Diceros bicornis minor: one gene and its partners. Each later gene encodes a partner of the first gene's protein in a complex. Links are inferred from orthologs where the notes say so. Each region holds a gene or a part of one and is shown in the gene's direction. Other genes may lie near its edges.

Region 1 (7,584 bases):
CTGCTCAGAGACACATGCAACGCAAGTGTCCTTAAGAACCTCAGTCCTCCAAAGTCACCCTTTCCTTTCATAGACACATACAGTGACCCAATCGCCCCGAGCCCATTAGATTTACAGAAAAGTCTGGGCTCTCCCCAACAGTTCTAGACCCCAAACACGGGGATGGAGTGTCTTCCATTTTCCTAGTCACCTTTTATGATGAATTCTACTCCTGTTCAATTCCTGATCCCTTCTATGTTGGTTAGAATTCCTAAGGTAGTGAGAAACAGAAACACACTTCAAACTAGTTCGGGCATCAGGGAAGATTCATTGGAGAACTCCCTAACCAGGGGCAGAGGCAAAGCGTGCTTCTGGCTGGCCTGGAACCAGAGCCTCAGAGGTCTCTCTTCTCTGCTCCCCTCTGGAGCGTGGAAGCTCATTCCTCCAGCTTGGCTTTTTCCAAACAGCAGCCAACAGCCACGCAGCTGCTGCACTTGGCATCTCTCAGTTTCTCCAAGAGAGAGGAATGGTCTCTCTCTTTGATGCAAAGTTTTAAAATCCTAGGGAGGGACTCTGATTGAGTTGGTTCAGATCAGCTGTCCCTTCCTGTACCAACCAACTGTAGTCATCGCGTGCGGCCCTCTCCTTTGTCCGGCCTGGTGGATGGCATTGGGCCAATCCACAGTGACCCGCTGCCAATCAAATCACATGGTTGGAGTACAGCAGGCACGCTCAAGGAGGGGAATAATGCCCCCAAGGAGGCACAAAGCAGTTCTGGGAGGGCAGAACAATCTTAGATCTTACAGTGGTTTGTGGTCCTCCAAAGAACCACAGTACATAACCAGATATACAGTATGTCTGTGGGATTACAATTTCATAGCGGGGAGGGCAATTAGGAAAGAAATTAAAAAGCCTCCTTCAGGAGGGTGCTGATAATGAAAAAAAATGTTGAGAAACACTGGAGTAGAGGAGGGAGCATCTCTCAGAAGGACAGGACCATTCTGGACAAAACAAAGAAATGTCCAGTACATCCTCCCACCTCCTGCAGCTGCTGACTCCTCTCCAGCCCTCGATCCGTACGCGGGTGCAGCACCTCCTCCTCATTCCCCAAGCACATGACGCAGGCTGTCCTGTACTGTGGCCTCGTGCTGAAGATGGAGGAGAGTGGAGGATAATCACAGCCCGGTTGCTAACGTTCACTGACCATTCACACCTCAGGGAAGCCCTTCCAGCCCATCCTTCCTCAGACCTGGCCTGCCCTGCAGTCCTTGCCCCCTCTTTTCCCTCTAAGTCCCTGGGACAACCCTCAGCCCAGATCCTAGCCCTTCTACCCCTTTGCCATCTTGCGTGCCAAGCCAGATCTAGGAATTTCCACACTGTACAAAGCAAATCACCCACCTCCCTGGTAGACCACCCTGTGTTGGTCTTTCATAACCAATAAGGGTCATGAAGGCATTTCAAAAATAAAAAGGCTCCTCTGCCTTGGAGTCTGCCCTTAGGCACACAAAGCTGATAAATGACAATTTTTATTTTTTTTTGAGGAAGATTGGTCCTGAGCTACCATCTGTCGCCAATCTTCCCGCTTTTTTCCTTTTTTATTTAATCCCCAAAGTCCCAGTAGATAGTTGTATGTCATAGTTGTACATCCTTCTAGCTGCTCTATGTGGGACACCGCCTCAGCATGGCTTGATGAGCGGTACGTAGGTCTGCGCCCAGGATCCGAACTGGCGAACCCCGGGCCGCCGAAGCAGAGTACGCAAACGTAACCGCAATGTCACCGGGCAGGCTCTGGAACGACAATTTTAATTAGCCTGCCCAGATCACAGTTGTAGGCAGGGTTTCTTCCAACATCAGCAGCCCCTGAAAGCTGAGAAGGGCTGTCCAGAGGACATCCCAGAGGCTCAAGGGTTGTGTATGTTTTTTACTGTTGTTGTTGTTTGTTTTGAACCTATTGCATTTAGAGGGGTTAAGTCCAGACTTCCCTGACTTTCCAGGCTCCCCTAGGTCAGGTTTTTCAGGATGAGATGAGGATTCGCCTGCTGCGATTTGTGAAGGAAATGTTCCCAGGAGAGACTGGTAAGAGAGGGGGCAAACCAGGACAGAAAAAGAAGTCCGGCAGCAGTGAGATATGCCAAGCTAAGTCCTAGCCTCCCCTGACCTTGCAGGGCCCCCGGGTGTTAATTACACCTGGAGTTCATCCACCTCCAGGCAAAGGAGCACCAGCCAGTCAACGGCTAGGCATGCCTTTGGGGATTGGGGAAACTCCTGGGTACCTGGGGATCCCCTCCTTGGTGCAAAAAGCAATTGTAGTTGTCCAAGGGCAGTCCTCCTAAGAGTGTTCCAGGTCAGGGAGGAGGGGATGGATCTGGAAGCACAGGGAAAGCCCTGCCAGCAAGGAATCCGGCCATCACCACTGTACCTGTTCCGTAGATCTTCCTAGAACTAGATCCCGTCCAGTCTGTCCCCCACTCCTGGCCCTACACTGTCCCAGCCTCAGCCAGACCCCCGGCTGAGCCAGCCTGCACTTGCCCAGCTCCTGCTTCTGCTCACCCTGACTCCTCCATCCAGAGTAAAGGTGTCCCCTTCTCCGCCTGTTTAAATTCTTTATGATGCTCCTGCAGCATTTTTCCCCCAAAAGTCCCCTCCCTCACTGCCCTGAGCTGCCCCAGCATTTGTGCTCCCTCTTACCTCCCATCGCAGTTACTTGTGCCCAGATCTCACGGGCTCCACATACCTTCCCTCTGCTGGCACACTCCCCACAGTCTACGAGGTTGGCCTTGAGGTCCCAGCCTCTGCTCTCTGCTTCAGAGCGTCCATGTGAGGCTGGCCATGGAGACGCTCCAGGAACACATGCTGAAGAGAACTGTTGGACCTCATGCTGACCCATCAACTCTTTCTGAACCTACGCATCCATCAAAGTCTGGCTGAGTGGTCATCTCCCGCCAGGATCCTCTCTGATCAAGTTCCACCCCGTCATCTTCAAATGAATGGGGAGATCTGGTCAACACTTCCTCAGCTTTTCCCATAAAGATTCCCTTGCACCACATATCCCCAGTGGCTCTGTGCAACAGAGAAGGGAGGGGAAAAGATAAAAAGAGGAGGGAGAGACCAGGGCTCTACCTTCAGGAGTGCCTTCCCCCACCAAGCTGTTTGGAGACCACCAGCCTCACCCAAGGGGCAGTTAGAGAACAGTCCACATGGGGGTAGGGGGAGGAGCCAGGGGCTCAGGCTCAAGCCTGTGAGATTTCAGGGGAGGGCGATGTGGGAACAATCAGGAAAGGCTGCTTGGAGGAAGGGGGTGGAGGGGAGGAGGACCTGAGGGACAGAAAAGTGTCCCCGGCAGACAGACTAGAGTGAACACAGTGTCTGAGTTTCTTGAACTCGGGCTGAGTTCTCCGGGGCCTGTACCCACCTTGTCTGCATCCTCCAGGAAAAGCTCAGCGCCCCGCTAATCGCATTCCTCAAATGCTTTCCCCTCAGATCCTAACGACAACGACGCTGGAAATGCTGCGTAAGTTTTTAAACACCCTGCACCAGGCCCACCTGTTGGAATAGTTCCAGAGGCCCCCCCAGAACAGGCCTCACCTCCTGAGCCCTGACCCAGCCCCAGGTTAGACCTTTCCCCACCCAAGATCAACACTGCTCAGCCATGCCTGACATAAAGATCCTTGGGCAAATTTACTGAAACATACTAGTGCCTGGGTCCCACCCCAACCTATGAAACCAGAATCTCTGGGTGGGGTTTGGCACTGCTGCATTTGTTGTCATGGTTGTTTGGGGTTTTTATTTTTAGCATTTTATTTCAAATTTAAAGAAAAGTTGGAAGAATAAGCCAAAGTATACACACATCCCCGTTGCCCAGATTTACAGACTGTTTCTTGCCCCATTTGTTTTATTGTTCTCTCTCTATATGTATATCTGTGTGTATATTTCTGAAGCATTTGAAAATAAGTTACAAACAGGCTGCCTCTTTAGCCCTAAATGTGTATTTCCTAAGAACAGAAACATTCTCTTACCTACCCACAGTGCAGTTATCAAAACTGGGAAATTGAACACTGATACAGTTATTTAATCCGGCATCCACATTCAACTTGCAAGCGTCCCAGTGGGCACTGGTGCCCGGTGAAAGCACCCCAGACAGTCAGAACATGCCTGCAGGGCTGGGACACCTGGTGAGGATGAGACCCACCCAGCCCACCTATGCTCTGGCCACAGCCACAGCGAGACTCCTTGCCCCCTTTCTCCATTCCTCTCTCCTGGCAGTGGGTAGCTACAGCCCTGGCAAAGGTGGTGGCGGATGAAGGCATTAACCCCTTCTCTGCAGGCGGGAGGCAGAGTCTGGCCTCTGGCTGCTGGGGCAGAAGCGGCTGCCCAGCGCCCGCTATAAATAACGTGGAGGGGCGGGCTGTGGGGCGGTGTCACCGCTGCCTTGGGGGAGGGGGCGAGGGAGAGTACCCCCTGTGCCCAGGGCCTTACCTTGGCCTGCTCCGCCGGTGGGGAGGGAGGAGGCCAATGCGGCTGTGGCCCGGGGGAGCGGCGGGCGGGGCAGAACAGCCGCGCTGGGAGGTGTGCTCCGGTCCCTAGCCGCTGCGGGCATGGGGGGTCCCGCGGGGCCCCCGCGCCTCCTCCACACCCCACACCCTCTCCTCTGCCTGCTCTGCCTCCTCCTGCCGCTGCTCGAAGTAAGTGCGGGGAGTGGGGTCGGGTCTCAGGGTGGGGGCGCCGGGAGCTGGAGCTCCGTGCTCTCAGGACTAGGGGCTGGGAGGGAGTCTTGGTGCTCACTTCCTCGGCCTTTTCCCTCAGCCCTGTTATGAGTTGGGTGGGCTTGTGCGCCGGGTTGGGATTGGGGATCCCTGTGCGGATCATGGGATGGAGATCTCCTGCCTGGGGAGGGGGGCAGGTGGAGAGGAGAGGGAACTCGAACACAACTGGGATGGGACAGGGAGGCCCTTGTGGATGAGCAGAGCCTTCTGAGTGACGCCCTAGCATCCATGACACGCCCTTCCTCGGGTCCACAAATTCCCTCTTCCCTGTCCATTCTGTCCCCTCCTTCATGGATCCTTCTCCATATCCCCTGCAGGAGCTTCAAGTCTCTTCCTCACCCCACCCCAGTTCTGGCCCTTCCTCCCAGTGGACCCCCAGAGAGCTGCCCCCCATCCCCTGCACCCTGTCCTCACCCTCTTCTTAGTGTCTCAAACCAGGCAGCCCCAGTACCAAATGAGCAATGGGGCAGAGGGAGCACGGGGGTGGTTTCTCAAAACTGTAGGTGCCCTTTGCCCAGAGTCTGGGTCTGCAGGTGGGGGCTGGAGCAAAGGGATGGAGAGGAGCTATAAGGAAGGAGCTTTTGAAGAAGGGAAGTGAGGCTGAGAGGGAGTGATTTCCAGAAACAGATGCGGGAGGAATCTCCCTCTAACCCTCTCCCCATTTTACAGATGGGGAAACTGAGGCTCAGAGAGAGCAACCTGTCCTAGGCCACACTTTTCATGAAGAGCCACGGCATTAAAAGGGTTCAGAGGGCAAAGAGGGGCCCGGAGACCACACAATGCTGGGGACAGAGCCAGGCTGGAAGTCAGGAGGCCTAGTCCTGTCCCCACTCCAACAAAGACCAGCCTTGGGGCCCGTTTCCTGGGCCTCGATGTCCCCATATGTACACTGAGGACCCATTCATTCAATATTCATTCAAGACAGGTAGCAAGCATCAGCTGACTGTGGCAAAGTGGCTTTTCCGACAGACCTGATTCAAATCCCTGCTTTGCTGCTTAGCGTGTGACCTTGGACACGTTACTCAAATTTTCCGAGCCTCAGTTTCCTCATTTGTAAAATGGGGATGGTGTTGGTGCTTACTGAATAGGGCTGTTGTGAGGAACAGATGAGATATACAAGGAAAGCTCTTAGCACCATGCCCAGCACAGAGCAAGCACTCGGTAAATGCAGCTATGGTTCTGTGCCCGGCACTAGAGATTAAGTGTGACCACACCAGGGGCCCTGCCCTCCCAGGGGGTCTGGTCACGTGGAGGGGAAGGGTGGGCACCATGCTGAGGTGTGGTCAGTGCCCCGATGGTCAGGCGGCCCCTAGACCTGCCAGGCCCTTGTAGTGACATTGCAGACTGTATTTGGGGGGAGGTTGTGCCGTGGATTCACCCCCATCCCCCACCCACCACCCCCAGGTCCTGGGCGTTGAGCTCTTTTTGTCCCCTCCCACTCATTCTCAGGGTGTGTGCCTTCCAAGAGAGCTGGGTGTTAGGTCCCGGGTTGCCCCTCGGCCCTCCCCTCTGGAGGCTATGATGCTGGTTAGACGGAGAGGGCTTCTGGTTGCTCTCCAGAGCAAGGCCAGGCAGAGGGGATCTGTGGCAGGGTACCCTGAGTTCTGGGGACGCAGAACAGGAAACTTCAGAGGCAACAGTCCCTTTAAACTCCCTTTAGAGTCAGCCCAGGCCCTGCCCCTAGCTCCCTCCATGACCCCAGTCTGAGACAAGAGACTAGTTACTCATCATGTAACCAGCTAGAGAGGAACTAATCTGCGGTCTTTCTGGCCCCAAAGCGCAGCCTTCCCTGCTCTGAGCCTTCATGGTAATGGGATTTATTTCTGGGTCCTGGTCCAACTATTCTGAGATTTCTGCTCCAGAGCAGGTGGTGGGGAGGGAAGGTGACCCAGGAGGGGCCTGGCCTCCAGCCCTCTCATTTATTCACTCAGTGCTTAAGGAGGACCGGGCCGTGAGGACACAAGGGTGAAAACACCCACCCGATGGAGTCATAGCCTAGAAGGAGACCCTGGCAGGAAGAAAATAATGGCGAAGAATTAAGTGTGTATTTACAAACTCTGGCCACGGGAACTAAGAAAAAGCGTGTGCAGGTGTGAGAGCCTCTGACAGGCGGGCAGGATGGCAGGGGTGGCCGTGGGGTGGTCGGAGAGGAGGGCTGAGGGGAGAGCAAGCAGCGGGGAAGGCCCCAGAGCCCCGACCCTGAGAAGAGATGGTGTGAGGCTGCAGGGGGCATGGTGGGTCCCCAGTGGGCTCCGATTTCTAGCCCAAGGGCATGGAGGGGAAGGGCCCGACCTGATCTGCAATTGGGGAAGTTCCAGCTGGTGGTTGGGTGAGGAGGACACCCTGCACCTTGTCCCAGCCCACACCGCAAGAGCCCGGAGGAGCCAAGCCTTGACCCTGGTGCTCCCGGGGTGCCCTCTGAGGCCTTTGGGAAGCTGCTTTGGGGGCAGCGCTGTAATCATGCAGCCTGCCCTGGACACCCAGTGCTGTGCTAAGCACTTGACTAAAACATCGGGAAAGTGGATCGGTTACTTACAGATGGAAACAGACGTTCAGTGAGGCTGAGGAATGTGGCTGCTGGATTCCAAAACCCTCCATTCTAACCTTTCGAGCTGCTTGCCTCCTCCTCTGTGAAGATCCCAGGAGTCTACCAGCCCCTTTTGGCTGGGTCCAGCCCCTTGGACCTTTGTGGGGCAGCAAGATACTCCCTGCTGACCCCAGGGTCTCAGGACAGCGATTCTGTGGCCTCCTGCTCCAAGTCTGGGCTTCTGGGCGGGGCCGTCTGTCCTGAGAAGCCTCAGCAAAGAGAGAAATCCCCGCCAGGGCCCGGGGCCCCAGAAGC
Region 2 (4,924 bases), on another chromosome or scaffold:
CTGGTACAGGCTTTTGGACCGGCTCATCCCGGGCACCACCAAAGTGGATGCACTAAAGAAGATGCTGTTGGATCAGGTGAGCAGAAGGGAAAGGGAGTTGAGAAGGGTGAACTGTGCTGGGGGTGGGTCGAGGGTTAGGTACTCACAGCGCTTTCATTTCTCTTCCCTAGGGGGGCTTTGCCCCGTGTTTTCTAGGCTGTTTCCTCCCACTGGTAGGAACATTCAATGGATTGTCAGCCCAGGACAATTGGGCCAAACTCCAGCGGGTGAGCTGGGCAGATGTGGGGAAGATCTCTGGCTTGCAGACTGGCAGACCCAGGGGAATGAGGCAGGCTTCCGGGGAATGAGAAAGGTGAAGCGCAGCTGGATCTCAGGCTCTGGAGGAGAGGAGCTGAGGGGGGTGTGGTGCAGGAGCGTGTTCTTTGAACAGAAGTCTGTGTGTGATATTCAGACTGGGAGGTGGGAGCTGCTTGGAAATGGAAGTGTTAACTTGTTCCTTCTCTGTCTCCTCAGGATTACCCTGACGCCCTCATCACCAACTACTATGTAAGAGCTGACACCTCAACTGCCTGTTTTCCTGCTTTCTTGAGTCCAGAAGTGCCCAGGGATTGGGGTCCTCCTGACAGAGAAGTCCCTGAGACATCCCTCAGTTGTTCCCTCATTCCCAGTGTGGGAACATCCTCAGGGAAGCGCTCACCCAGTTGTTCAATTTGTTCTTGTCTGCAGAAGTTGGAATAAGACTAGACCAGGCAGTGAGTCTGGGGATCAGGTGATGGAGTCAGCCCCCCAACATTTACATTCTCTCTCTTGTAGCTCTGGCCTGCTGTGCAGTTAGCCAACTTCTACCTGGTCCCCCTTCATTACAGGTATGACAGATCCCTACCCCACCCTTCAAGGAAGATCTGCATTATGAACAGTTGTAGATGAAGTGATATTCATTTCAACCTTGAACTTCTTTAGACCCCATAGAACAGTCTGTCCTGATCAGAGCTCCTCAGACTCTAGCATTTTATTCAGAACTTCTTACCCATTACAGAACCTGTCACAGAGTGTCTGCCCACTGACCTTCATCTTCCTAGGGAGGATCCTGCTCCACAACCCTGGTCTCCATCCCACCTGAGCTCTCTACCTTTGCTGTAGGGACAGTGCCTGGGGTGCTATGGCCTAGGTTAGACGGAAAGATAGACCAAAGAGCCAAGTAGGAACCTCGTCAGGTTACTCCACTGCAAAGTATTATTTTACCCTAATAATAAAACTAATTGCTGAAACCACAATAAAAATATAGTGGAATTCAGGATGAGTAGTTAAAATTATTGGAGGTGAGGAGGGCTTTGAGAACAGGGAAAAATATGAAACTCTTCAGAGGGGATGTGGTCAAAATTTACATGAATAGCATAGCTATAAGGAATCTAGATTTATGAACCAAAAATCTTAAACATTAAGGTCCTTGCAACTTTTTTGAAACTAAAGCAAGGAAAATTTAAAATAAAGAGAAGGAGGTGCTACTTTGCGTGGCAGATAGTACATTTTTGGAAGATGATATCTCCTCAGCTGGTACAAGACAGACAGATACGTGTATTTAGAAGGAGCCCGGACAGGGGTATGGATAACGGCCATGTGGCAAGGTGGCTACTGAGGGTATTTAACTTTGAGGCTCTTGTCCAGGAGACCGCTCTGGGACAGCACCAGAACCTGAGCTGGTTGTCCTCTGGTCTGAGCCATACGTCCTTCTATAGGGGGCTGAAGGAGGGAGACCTAAATCTCGGCATTCTCGGAGATAATCTCTCCTTTTCCATTGCACTTTCCCATCTCTTCCCCCTTGCTTGCTCTTCATTCTTCCTCTTCTCCACAATGCCATTCCTGTTCCTTAGGTTGGCTGTTGTCCAGTGTGTTGCTGTTATCTGGAACTCCTACCTGTCCTGGAAGGCACACCGGCTCTAAGTCTGCCTCTCTCCATTGTTTCCGCCTTGCAGTGACGCAGCTTGACTCGAGAATGGTCAGACAACCTCCTCAAAGAGGGCACATCATTTTCACAGGGTTAATTTGCTAGTCAGAACTTAATGGGGTTAGCGCTATTAAGTGGCCCATTTCACTCTAAAATGTAAACTGACTCCTTTTGAAATCACTAAAACCTTTATAATAGTCTTATACCCACCACATCCATAAATATTTGTTGAACCATATGATCTTGTCAAGTTTAGTTTACACCCATATCCTGACAAATGCCACTCATCCCCACTCTTCATAGACACATCTGTTTCTCTAACCCTTCCCATCCCTAGTGTAGCTCCAGTTCTTTGGGGACCCTCTCAAACTCTTTATATGGTACCACTGTAAATATGTCATTAAATATGTAACCTGGAACCTGCAGAGGCAATGAGCAAGACTAACAGAAAACTACTGGGGAGTCAAAATTTCTAGAGCTAGAAAGAAGCCTAGAGACTACCAAACTTAATATTCTTTTACAGATGAGGACATTGAGGTCCATAGAAATGAGGTGCCTATCCACACCACGAGTTACTGGCAGATTAGAAACTTGAACCTATGTGCTATAGAGTGAATGTTTGAATACCCCCCAAATTCATATAGTGAAAACTTAATGACCAAGGTGATGGTATTAGGAGGTGGGCCTTTGGGAGGTGATTAATACCCTTGTAAAAAAGGCTATGTGTGGACACAGCAAGTAGGTGCCATCTATGAACCAGAAGGCAGGTCCTCACCAGACACTGAAACTACCTGTACCATGATCTTGGACTTCCCAGCCTCCAGAACTGTAAGAAATAAATGTCTGTTGTTTATAAGTCTCCCAGTTTATGGTGTTAGAGCATCTCGAATGGACTAAGACACCAGGTTTCCTTACGTCCTACCCAGTGATCTTAACCTGGAGGTCAAAGATACAGTAATGCTGCTGCTGTGATTCCCAGGAGAAAAATTAACTTGGCTAAACTACCACTTTGGGACAAACTGAGAAGCAGATGATCCAGCCTTTTGTGGTCGGAAAGCACCCTGAGGCCTCTTTTTATGGTGCCTCAGTCAGACAGCCCGAGAATTTAAATCCTGGCGCTGGAATAAGATCAAGAATCCTGGCAGACTCAGGCTGCCTCAGCTGCGTCTTGGGGGGTACCATGTGGTAGATGAGTGCCAGCTGTGTGCTCCTGATTGTCTCAGTTTACAGAACTGATAGCTGGGACAAGGGACTGGGTCTGAGCAGCACAGCGTTCTCCCAGTGCCTCTGGCCCCTTCTAGAAGCAGAGGACACCTTCACCGTCAGCACCACGGACAGCCCCGCGGGTCAGCCTCCCTTTCTTGTACCAGAGAAGACTGGAGATCCAGACTAGTCTAGTCTGGGGACCGGCCCCTAGTCACTGCTGGCTGTTATAAGCGGGTGAAGGACTCTTGTGGCTCCCAGAGCAATCTTTACGCTCCAGCCAGCTTCTCGCCCTCTTGAGTCCGGTGTTGCTTCCAGCCCTAGCCCCGGAGACGGGAAGTCTCGTGTCCCGTGGCGTGCCCCTTGGGGTCTTGCAACTGGCTGGACTGGAAGCTGCGGCCGTCATTGCTCTACAATCAGTACATGTTCCTCGCTGACGTCAGTCTGAGCTGTCCTGGCGCTATATAAGGCTGGCGGCGGTCCCGGGACAGACCCCGTGTTCCCCAAGGCGCCTTCAGCCCGCCCCGAGGGACGAGACTGGAGCTCCGTCCTGCACCATGCAGACGCTCTCCGGTAACCTGTGAGTGGCTGGGAGCGTCCGCCCGGGCTCCCTTAGCACCGGGACCCTGCGCTCAGCTCACCCACGGCGACCCGCCAAGAGGGAGGGAGGGAAGAAAGGGTGGCACAGGACTGGGCAGCGGCTGGGGCTGGAGGGAAGGTGGTGGGCACCGGGAGGCAGCCGCAGGGGCCCGGCGGGGGCGCTGGACATACGCCGGAAGGAGAGTGGCGGCACCTGCGACTGCCCCAGGCGCAGCTCACCCTGCGCTGCTCCTGTGTGTCCAGGGCCGGTGGCACCATGAGGCGGGAGGGACGCGCGGCGCTGCTGGCGGCGCTGCTGCTCCTGGCACAGCTGCGCTCGGGGAGCAGCCAGTGGAACCCGGAGGCGGCGGAGGCCGGGGTCCAGGACCCGAGTCTGCGCTGGAGCCCCGGGGGGCGGAACCAGGGCGGCGGAGCCCGCGCGCTCCTCTTGCTGTTGGCGGAGCGCTTCCCGCGCCGCGCGGGGCCTCGCCGATGGGGATCCGTGACCGCGGACGAGCGGCCGCGACGGGACGACCCTCCGCTGTCCATTGACCTCACCTTCCACCTGCTGCGGACCCTGCTGGAGTTGGCGCGGACGCAGAGCCAGCGAGAGCGCGCCGAGCAGAATCGCATCATATTCGACTCGGTGGGCAAGTGATCCGCGGGACCCCGAAAACTTCGACCTCCATTGCCCACCCCCGGGCCGGGACGTGCGTGACCGGAACTGACCCAGTCCCGCTGCGCTAGAACCGCCCAGGGATACCCTCAGCACTCTCCGCCTTACTAGTTTTTAATAAAAGTGCTGAAGAGCCTTTGCCTCTGTTTTGGGGGCGCGGGGAACCCCGGCAGGGTGGGAACCTGTGGGAAAGTGGGGCCTCCCAGGCCGGCTGGAGGGAACCAGGTGCTGCAGGAGGGCTCCGCGAAACGGCTTTCAGCCAGGGTCCTGTGGTCCCCATTGTCTTCAAGTCCCCCAGGAACTCAAGTCCTGGTGCCGCTGCACCATCCCGACCCTTTTCCCTTGGCACTGGGCTTGCGAATCCGTGCCTGATATCAAGGAGGTGGCCACCTGGGGTTCATTCCACTTCCGCCCCCCGAAATAGTCCCAGATCCGGAGAAGCGCGGGATGGTGATGGAGTCGCCTCTAAGCAGAGGCTGAGCGAGCGAGCAGTGAAAGGAGCTGCGATCGGGACGCATTAG
Region 3 (7,546 bases), on another chromosome or scaffold:
GCTGAGGCCACGTCCCACATACAGCAACTAGAAGGATGTGCAGCTGTGACACACAACTATCTACTGGGGCTTTGGGGGAAAAAGTAAATACATAAAATTATTAAAAAAAAAAAAAAGAAACAAATAAATACCCTCCTAAGGCAGGAGAAGGCTGCGAGCCCCATCCCCGGTTTCTCGGTTTCTCCGATGCTGGGTGTCCGGGGGCATCGATGGTTTCCGGGGGCAGACGGGAGCGCCCCGCTGTCAGCCCCGAGGCCGGGGAAGGGCAGGGACGTGAGAGATCCCGCGGAATCTGTCCCCTGCAGCCCGCCGGCCCCGCCTGGGCCTCACTCACCTTTGCTCTCTGCTCTGCGCTGGGATGCAGCCTTGTCCCCGGCCCCGGACCCTCATAAAGTGCAACTCCTCCAGGCTGGAGGCCACTTCCCAGGACGCAGGAGGGGAGGCTGCGGGCAGGGCGGGTGGGGCCTCGGGGCCATCGAGGTGACGCAGCCGGACTTTGTCTCTCTGGGCCTCCGGGAGGGGAAGCCAAGTCAGCGATTAGCGAATGCCTGGGCCCTGAGGCCACTTCACCATCTCCCTGTGGGCCTCAGTTTCCCCTCTTCCTCATCGGGGGCCTTCCCGGTGTCCGTCCAGCTCCTGGCACAGAGTAGGCACTTAGTGAACGCACGAGGACGATGGCACCCCCTGTTATTCTGCTCCCCGCTGTTCCCCTCCCTTCCTCCTCCCAACGCCCAGGGGCCCAGGGCAGAGCTGCGGCCAGGAGGGGGTGTCATGGGTGACATTTGATAAATACCTAGGGAACTCACGAACCCACCACCCCTTCTCCCATCTTATTCGTTTCTCCGCCCTGGGCTGCACTCCCACCCTGCCTGCCTCTGCTTCGGCGTCCTTTGAAACATTTAAGCATTTATTAAGCACCTACTGTGTACTTTATAAGTACCACCTCCTTGAACATTTCTTTTTTTTTTTAAAGCTTTCTCAAGGTATAATTGACACGCAATGAACTACACACGTTTAAAATGTACAATTTGGTGAGTTTTGTCCTATGTCTGCCCCCGAGCAATCACTGGCACAATCAAAAGTTTCCTTGTTCCTCTCCCCACCCCCACCCCCATCCCCAGGCGACCAGCAAGCTACTTTCGGTCACCATGGATTTCCACGGTTGGCATTTTCCAGAATGTTCTACAAATGGAATCACAGAGCACATCCTCCTTTCACTCAGCACAAGTCATCTAAGGCTCATTCATGTTGGTGTGTGTTTTTCCTTTTTCATGGCTGAGTAATATTCCAGCATAGGGATGGACCACAATTTGCTCATCCGCTCGCCGGTTGGTGGACGTTTCCAGTTTGGGAGGTTACAAATAAAGCCTCTGTGGACATTTGCGCACAGGTCTTGTGTGACATCACTCCCATTTTTCTCGGCGGCATGTATTTGTGATCGATTTCTGCGTAACAAATCGCCCCCCAACTTGATGCCTTAAAACAATAAACATTCGTTCTCTCACGCAGTTTCCGAGGGTTGGGAATTTGGGAGCAACGTAACCAAGTGGTTCTGGCTCGGGGTCTCAGATGAGGTCGCGGTCCAGCTGTCCGCGGGGGCTGCCTCATCTGAAAGCTCGACTGGGGACGGAGGAACTGCTTCCAAGCTGGCTCCCTTGAGTGGCTGTTGGCGGGAGGCCTCGGGGCTCCTCCAGCGGGATAGCCTAGACTCCTTTCCAGAGCGGCTGGGCTCTAGGAGCGAGTGAGACGGAGTCCAAGATGGGAGCCCAAGACACCTTATAACCCAGCCTCTGAAGCCACATCGTCATATTCTATTTGTTAGAAGCAGATCACTAAATTCAACCCACACCCTAGGCAGGGGGTGAATTACACAAGGCCATGGATACCAGAGAGCGGGGCTTGCTGGGGGCCGTCCTGGAGGTTATCTACCACCATCCCCTTGTGTTTAAATATTTAAGCAAACATTAGGCTTCTACTGTGTACATCACAAGAACCTTCTTCTTGGCGATTTACAACAGCTCAAGGTAAAAGAACTGATATGATATTCCCCACTTTACAGATGGGGAAACAGGCCCGGGAAAGTTAAGTCGCCCGCCCACAGTCCACGCCAGAGCAAGCAGCAGAAAGGAGATTCCGTCCTGAGGGTTAAGTCCTGTGCAAGGAGGTGGTGACGGCGTCACGGGACAGGAGCAGAGAAGGGAAGGAAGTACAGTGAGGTTTTTACCTCCAGAAAAAGAGCCCGGTTCCTTCATTGATTTCACAAACACTCATTGAGCACCTGCTGTATGCCAGGTGCTGGTTTAGGTCCCGGAGACAGCGCAGAAGACGAGACGGACGGAGTTCCCCCCACACGTGGCCCTCACACACACGAAAGAACGATTCCACTCGTCACCCTCTGGTGTGGCACCTGGCACGCAGGAGCATTGCCGGAGGAGGGAAGAGGCCCAAGGCTCCCTGCTGGACGTGGGAGACCCCTCGGTGACCGAGACACGCACGGTCACTGCCCACAGTCTGCTGGTTGATATGGACCGCAAACAACATTTGCAACAACAAATCCACCCTTTCCTTCAAGATTTATTGAGCGCCCAGTGTGTACAGGCCCGGTTCTAGATACGGCAGTGATCAAGACAGACAAAGACACCTTATATTACGGGTAAATGAGTAAAGAGATACATAAAGAAGATGATTTCCAGCCCTGGAAAGGGCCGTGGGGGAAGTCCAGCCGGTGGTGACAGGGTGGGGGCGCTGGCCTGACCCTCCCCCTGGGGAGGGGACGTTTGAGCCGGGGCCCGAGTGACAGTGGTTCTGTTCGGTCTCCCTGGCTGTGGGTTCTTTGCACAATGGGCTTCTGTCTGTTCATGGGGGAGCCCAGGATCCCCGGCTGCGCCACCCGCCGAGGTGAGCACGGAAGTCCCCAGGTGACAGGTCCAAGGAGCCAACCTCCCCACATTTGCCATCAGCCAATAAACGCAGACTTTGACCCCCTCGCCCCGTATCTCGAGACAGGAGGCTGTGGCGTGTCAAGGTGCAGGGACGGGACCTGGGCAGGGCCGGGTGGGGAGGGGAGGTGGGGGTCCCGCCGGGTCGCGGCTGGGAGAGGCGCCGCAGAGGGGGACTCGGTTTCCTCCTCCGTGGAATGGGTTTCCGGCACCAGGAACACTCCAAACTCTTTTATTCTTTTTCCATCATTCCAAATGCATTGATTGAGCACCTCCTGTGTGTCTGGGCCTCGTTCTAGGTCTTTCTATGAGAGGCCAGATAGTATATTGTAGGGTAGTCCACAGCCACTCCGCTCTGCCCTTGCCAGGTGAAAGCAGCTAAGCTCCACACGGAAATGAATGGGCATGGCTACGTTCCGGTAAAATTAATCGAGTAGGAGGGTTGGTTTAAAGGGCCGAAAGCAGTGCTTTGTATACAGTAGGCTCTTCATTAATGCTTGCTCTCTGCCTGGCCTATAGCAGGAACTGCTCTAATGCCTGTGTCCGTGCCTGGTTTACAGTAGGCACTCCATAATGCTTTTGCCCTGTCTGATACACGGCAGGCGTTGCATTAATGCTTGGTCCGTGCCTAGTATACAGCAGGTGCTGCATTAACGCTTTAGCCCTGTCTGGTATATAACAAGCCTTACGTTAATGCTTGTTCTCTGCCTGGAATACAGCAGGCGCCGCAGTAATGCCTGGCCCATGCCTCGTTTACAGTAGGCATTCTACTAATGTTTGCTTCCTGCCTGGTATACAGCGGGCGCTGCATTAATGTTTCGTCCATGCCTGTTATACAGTAGGTACTGCCTTAAAGGCTGGCCCATGCCTGGTATGCAGGAGGCATTCCATTAATGCTTGCTCAATACGTGGCACATAGCAGGCGCTGCATTAATCCCGGCCCGGGCCTGGTATACAGGAGGCCTTCCATTAATGCTTGTTCCAAGAACGGACAAGGGGAAGGCTCGTTTCCGGCCGGGAGACCGTGAGGGCTGGTCCCCCAGTGTCCCGCGTGGGAACGGGGTCCCCCAGCCCCGCGACCGCCGCGCCGGGTCCGCGCCTCTCGCTCCCGGGCCGAGCGGAGCCGAGCGCAGCCGAGCCGGCCGGCCGAGTCCGCCACATTCCCACAATCCCGGGCGGCCCCGCCCGGCTCCGGGCCGCGCGTCCCCCTGCCCACGTCGGCGCAACCTAACCCGCGGGCGCGCCCGCTCGCCCCGCCCCGCCCCGCCCGCCGACGCCCCGCCCACCCACCGCTGGTCCCGCCCCCGCGGCGGCGCGCGCGCCACCGCCCCCTCCCATTGGCCGCGCCGCCCGCCCGTCGGCGCCGTCCGCGCGCGGGTTAGGTTGTGCGGCGGTGTCGCTCGGTCGCGGCGGCTGCGGTTGGCAGCGGTGGCGGCGGCGGCGGCGCGGTCGGAGGGCGGCAGGGCGGAGAGCGCGCGGAGCGGACCGGCGCTCGCAGGCGGCCGAGCGCACCGGCCGGCCCGGGGGCCGAGCGCCGAGGCCAGGCGGGCGGCGGGCAGGGCGGGCGGCGGGCGGGGGGCGGCCGGGCGGCCGGGGCCGGGACGATGACTCTGGAGTCCATGATGGCGTGTTGCCTGAGCGACGAGGTGAAGGAGTCCAAGCGCATCAACGCCGAGATCGAGAAGCAGCTGCGGCGGGACAAGCGCGACGCCCGGCGCGAGCTCAAGCTGCTGCTGCTCGGTGAGTGGCCGGGCCTGCGGGCGGCGGGCTCGGGGCCGGTCCCCGCCCGGGCTGGACACGGGGCGCCGATCTCTGTGCTGGACACGGGGCGCCGATCCCTGTCTGTGCTGGACACGGGGGGCCGGTCCTCGCCCGGGCTGGACACGGGGCGCCGATCCCTGTCTGTGCTGGACACGGGGGGCCGGTCCTCGCCCGGGCTGGACACGGGGCGCCGATCCCTGTCTGTGCTGGACACGGGGGGCTGGTCCCCGCCCGGGCTGGACACGGGGGGCCGATCCCCGTCTGTGCTGGACACGGGGGGCCGGTCCCCGCCCGGGCTGGACACGGGGCGCCGATCTCTGTCTGTGCTGGACACGGGGCGCCGATCCCTGTCTGTGCTGGACACGGGGGGCCGGTCCCTGTCTGTGCTGGACACGGGGGGCCGGTCCTCGCCCGGGCTGGACACGGGGCGCCGATCCCTGTCTGTGCTGGACACAGGGGGCCGGTCCCCGCCCGGGCTGGACACGGGGGGCCGATCCCCGTCTGTGCTGGACACGGCCCCCCCGTCTGTGCTGGACACGGGGGGGCCGGTCCCCGTCTGGGCTGGACACGGGGGGCCGGTCCCCGCCCGGGCTGGACACGGGGGGCCGGTCCCTGCCTGGGCTGGACACGGGGGGGCGGATCCTCACCCGTGCTGGACGTGGTCTGTGCCTGTGCTGGACACTGAGGGGCCCCCCCATCCCTGCCCGTGCTGTCCACGGTGGGCCTCGGGGCCTTGCAGTCAGTCCTGAGCCGTGCTGTCCACCGCAGCCCGACCCCGCCTGTGCTGTCCACAGCCTGTGCCTGAGCTGTCTAGAGCGGGCCCTGGGCCTCAGGGTCGGCCCCTGCCTGTGCTGTCCACAGCAGGCCCTAGGTTCCTTCAGGTCAGCCCTGCCTCTGCTGTGCACGTTGGTGCCCCGGACCCTTGGGGTCAGCCTGTGCCTGTGCTGTCTGCAGCAGGGCCACAATCCCTGCAGGGTCAGGCCTGCCTCTGTTGACTATGTCGGGCCCCATGTTTCTTCAGGGCCAGCCCCAGCCTCTGCTGTCCAGGCGGGGCCCCCAGAACCCGCCAGGGTCAGTTCCTGCCTCTGCTGCCTGGTGTCTGATCCCTGCAGGGCCAGCTCCTGCTTCTGTCTGGGTCAGGCCCCCAGAACCCTGGAGGGTCTGCCTGCTGCCCTTCTCATGGTGCGACCCCCTCCCCACACAGGGCTGGCCCCCTGTCCCCGCCCCACTGAGTGTCCCCCCTCGCTGCCTGCAGCATCAGCCTAGGGCCAGACCTTTGGGCTGTAATCCACAAGACGCGCCCCTCGCCTCCCGGGCTCCCGTCTCGGCTCTTCCCACCAGGTGGAGCCCTATGCCCTGCACGCCGGGCCTGGCCCCCTCCAGCCCGTTCCCTCAGGCCGCTCCCCTGCCTCCCTCCCCCTGTCCTCCCAAGTGGGGTGGAGTGGGGTACACCCTACACCCGTGGGGGAGAAGACAACCTTTCGTCTCGGGTTTCTGTTGTAGCCAGAGGCCGGGGCGGGTGGACCCTGGAGGGGCCTTCACCGGCGTTCAGCACTTTCCTCATCCCCTTTCCCACGTCTGGGTGGGAGCTGGATCTCCGGCTCCCCCTCCCTCTCCCGGAGAAGATCCCTGTCCGCGTCTGCATCTCCCCAGGCACACCTGTTGCTGTTGCAGGCAGCGAGGCGGCCCAGCTGTGGGCACAGTGTTGTCACCCCAAATAAGGGCTGCTGAAGGACTCAGCTCTGCTGTCAAAGGCATGAAGGTCGTTTACAAAACAGCAACCCTCGCGGCCCTTCCTGAGCTCCGCCGGTCCTGGGCTGCGGGGAAGGGAGAGAATGCTCGCTCCCCGCTCAGGGATAGCTCCCGTGGGCCCTGGGGCCCAATGGGAGGGGGCTGTCACGGAGGGCGCACCCCAAGAACAGCGCAGGGTTTAGGGGCGCCGAGCCTGATGGCTGAGGGGCGTTGGCTCTTTTGGGGGGTGGCAGGCATGCATTGCTTCTCCCGCCTGCAGGGACCCACCCCCCGGACCCCCACTTTGATGAAACACCTTCCCCGTTTTTTTTTTCTTTTTCAAACATATGTTCCGATTTATCTAAATGCCCTATAACAGGCCACCTTTCCGGGAAAGACAGGCAGGGAGTAACCGTAATGCTTGGAGGGAACTTGCGGCGGGCTCCAAGTGGCGCTCTGGCGGACAGGGTGGCACTGCTGGCTTTGGCAGCGCGAGCAGACTTTATTTTGGGAGGGGGATTTAGACATCTCCAGCATCTTGGTGATGTTACCAGACAGCCTTGCCTGGGGGCTCTGTGAGCCCCCAGACGGCCCCACTGCCTGTCCTGAGGGTACCCAGGCTGCAGATGGTCGTGGGGTTCAAGAACACAGGTCACCGGCTCGGCTGCAGGAGCCCCAGTGTCTGCAGTCCCCCCACCCCGCCGTGGGACCCCAGAGAACACCCAGCCCTCCCCCCACCGGCCTGCACGACAGGGCATCGTGCACCTGTCTCGGGACGCCGAGTCCTGGGCACAGGGGGCCAGAGAGAAAGAGGATGATGGGAGCTCATGGGGCCAAGGTGAAGGTTTATGACGAGGAGGACCAGCTGTAAATGCCGGGCCGAGGTCCAGGGCCGTGCTGTGGGCTGTGGAGCCGCATCCCTGGCCCCACCCACTCGATGCCAGGAGCACCCCCAGTGTGGCAACCACAATGTCCCTAGACGTGGCCCAGTGTCCCCTGGGGGCGGGATCACCCCTGTTTGAGAGCCCCTCATGGTAGCACACAAGATCAGCGTGTGTCACAGAGCTGGAGTGTAATCAGCGTCAATGGTTTTGTCACGTGTTTGGTGAATGTTT

Evidence for each region.
Region 2: the proteins of CRHR2 (region 1) and UCN are in contact, whole or in part, in a cryo-EM structure (PDB 7TS0), measured with the Homo sapiens proteins. The link is inferred for Diceros bicornis minor from reciprocal best matches to the Homo sapiens genes CRHR2 and UCN. Residues at the interface, in NP_001874.2 of Homo sapiens: Phe68, Asn69, Gly70, Val71, Tyr73, Ile101, Leu102, Asp103, Asp104, Arg107, Asp110, Tyr113, Leu117, Asn120, Trp166, Leu169, Gln170, Val172, Asp173, His174, His177, Glu178, Thr188, Phe191, Asn192, Phe199, Phe256, Gly257, Lys258, Asp265; in NP_003344.1 of Homo sapiens: Asn84, Pro85, Ser86, Leu87, Ser88, Ile89, Asp90, Leu91, Thr92, Phe93, His94, Leu95, Leu96, Arg97, Thr98, Leu99, Leu100, Leu102, Arg104, Thr105, Ser107, Gln108, Arg111, Ala112, Asn115, Phe119.
Region 3: the proteins of CRHR2 (region 1) and GNA11 are in contact, whole or in part, in a cryo-EM structure (PDB 7TRY), measured with the Homo sapiens proteins. The link is inferred for Diceros bicornis minor from reciprocal best matches to the Homo sapiens genes CRHR2 and GNA11. Residues at the interface, in NP_001874.2 of Homo sapiens: Arg148, Tyr208, Leu209, Ala212, Ile213, Thr216, Glu220, Lys293, Lys307, Ala311, Phe358, Tyr359, Phe362, Asn363; in NP_002058.2 of Homo sapiens: Arg37, Ile348, Leu349, Asn352, Leu353, Glu355, Tyr356, Asn357, Leu358.

The regions. Positions count from the first base shown.
Region 1 is NC_080742.1:54,986,575-54,994,158, reverse strand, and holds the start of CRHR2 (corticotropin-releasing factor receptor 2), read left to right. Parts: upstream 1-4,574; coding exon 4,575-4,661; intron 4,662-7,584. UniProt on the Homo sapiens protein: G-protein coupled receptor for CRH (corticotropin-releasing factor), UCN (urocortin), UCN2 and UCN3. Has high affinity for UCN.
Region 2 is NC_080751.1:55,532,383-55,537,306, forward strand, and holds UCN (urocortin), read left to right. Parts: upstream 1-3,938; 5' UTR 3,939-4,004; coding exon 4,005-4,385; downstream 4,386-4,924. Other genes in the region: protein Mpv17, read left to right, coding at 1-76, 171-266, 514-738. UniProt on the Homo sapiens protein: Acts in vitro to stimulate the secretion of adrenocorticotropic hormone (ACTH). Binds with high affinity to CRF receptor types 1, 2-alpha, and 2-beta. Plays a role in the establishment of normal hearing thresholds.
Region 3 is NW_026691553.1:2,409,642-2,417,187, forward strand, and holds the start of GNA11 (guanine nucleotide-binding protein subunit alpha-11), read left to right. Parts: upstream 1-4,521; 5' UTR 4,522-4,543; coding exon 4,544-4,679; intron 4,680-7,546. UniProt on the Homo sapiens protein: Guanine nucleotide-binding proteins (G proteins) function as transducers downstream of G protein-coupled receptors (GPCRs) in numerous signaling cascades.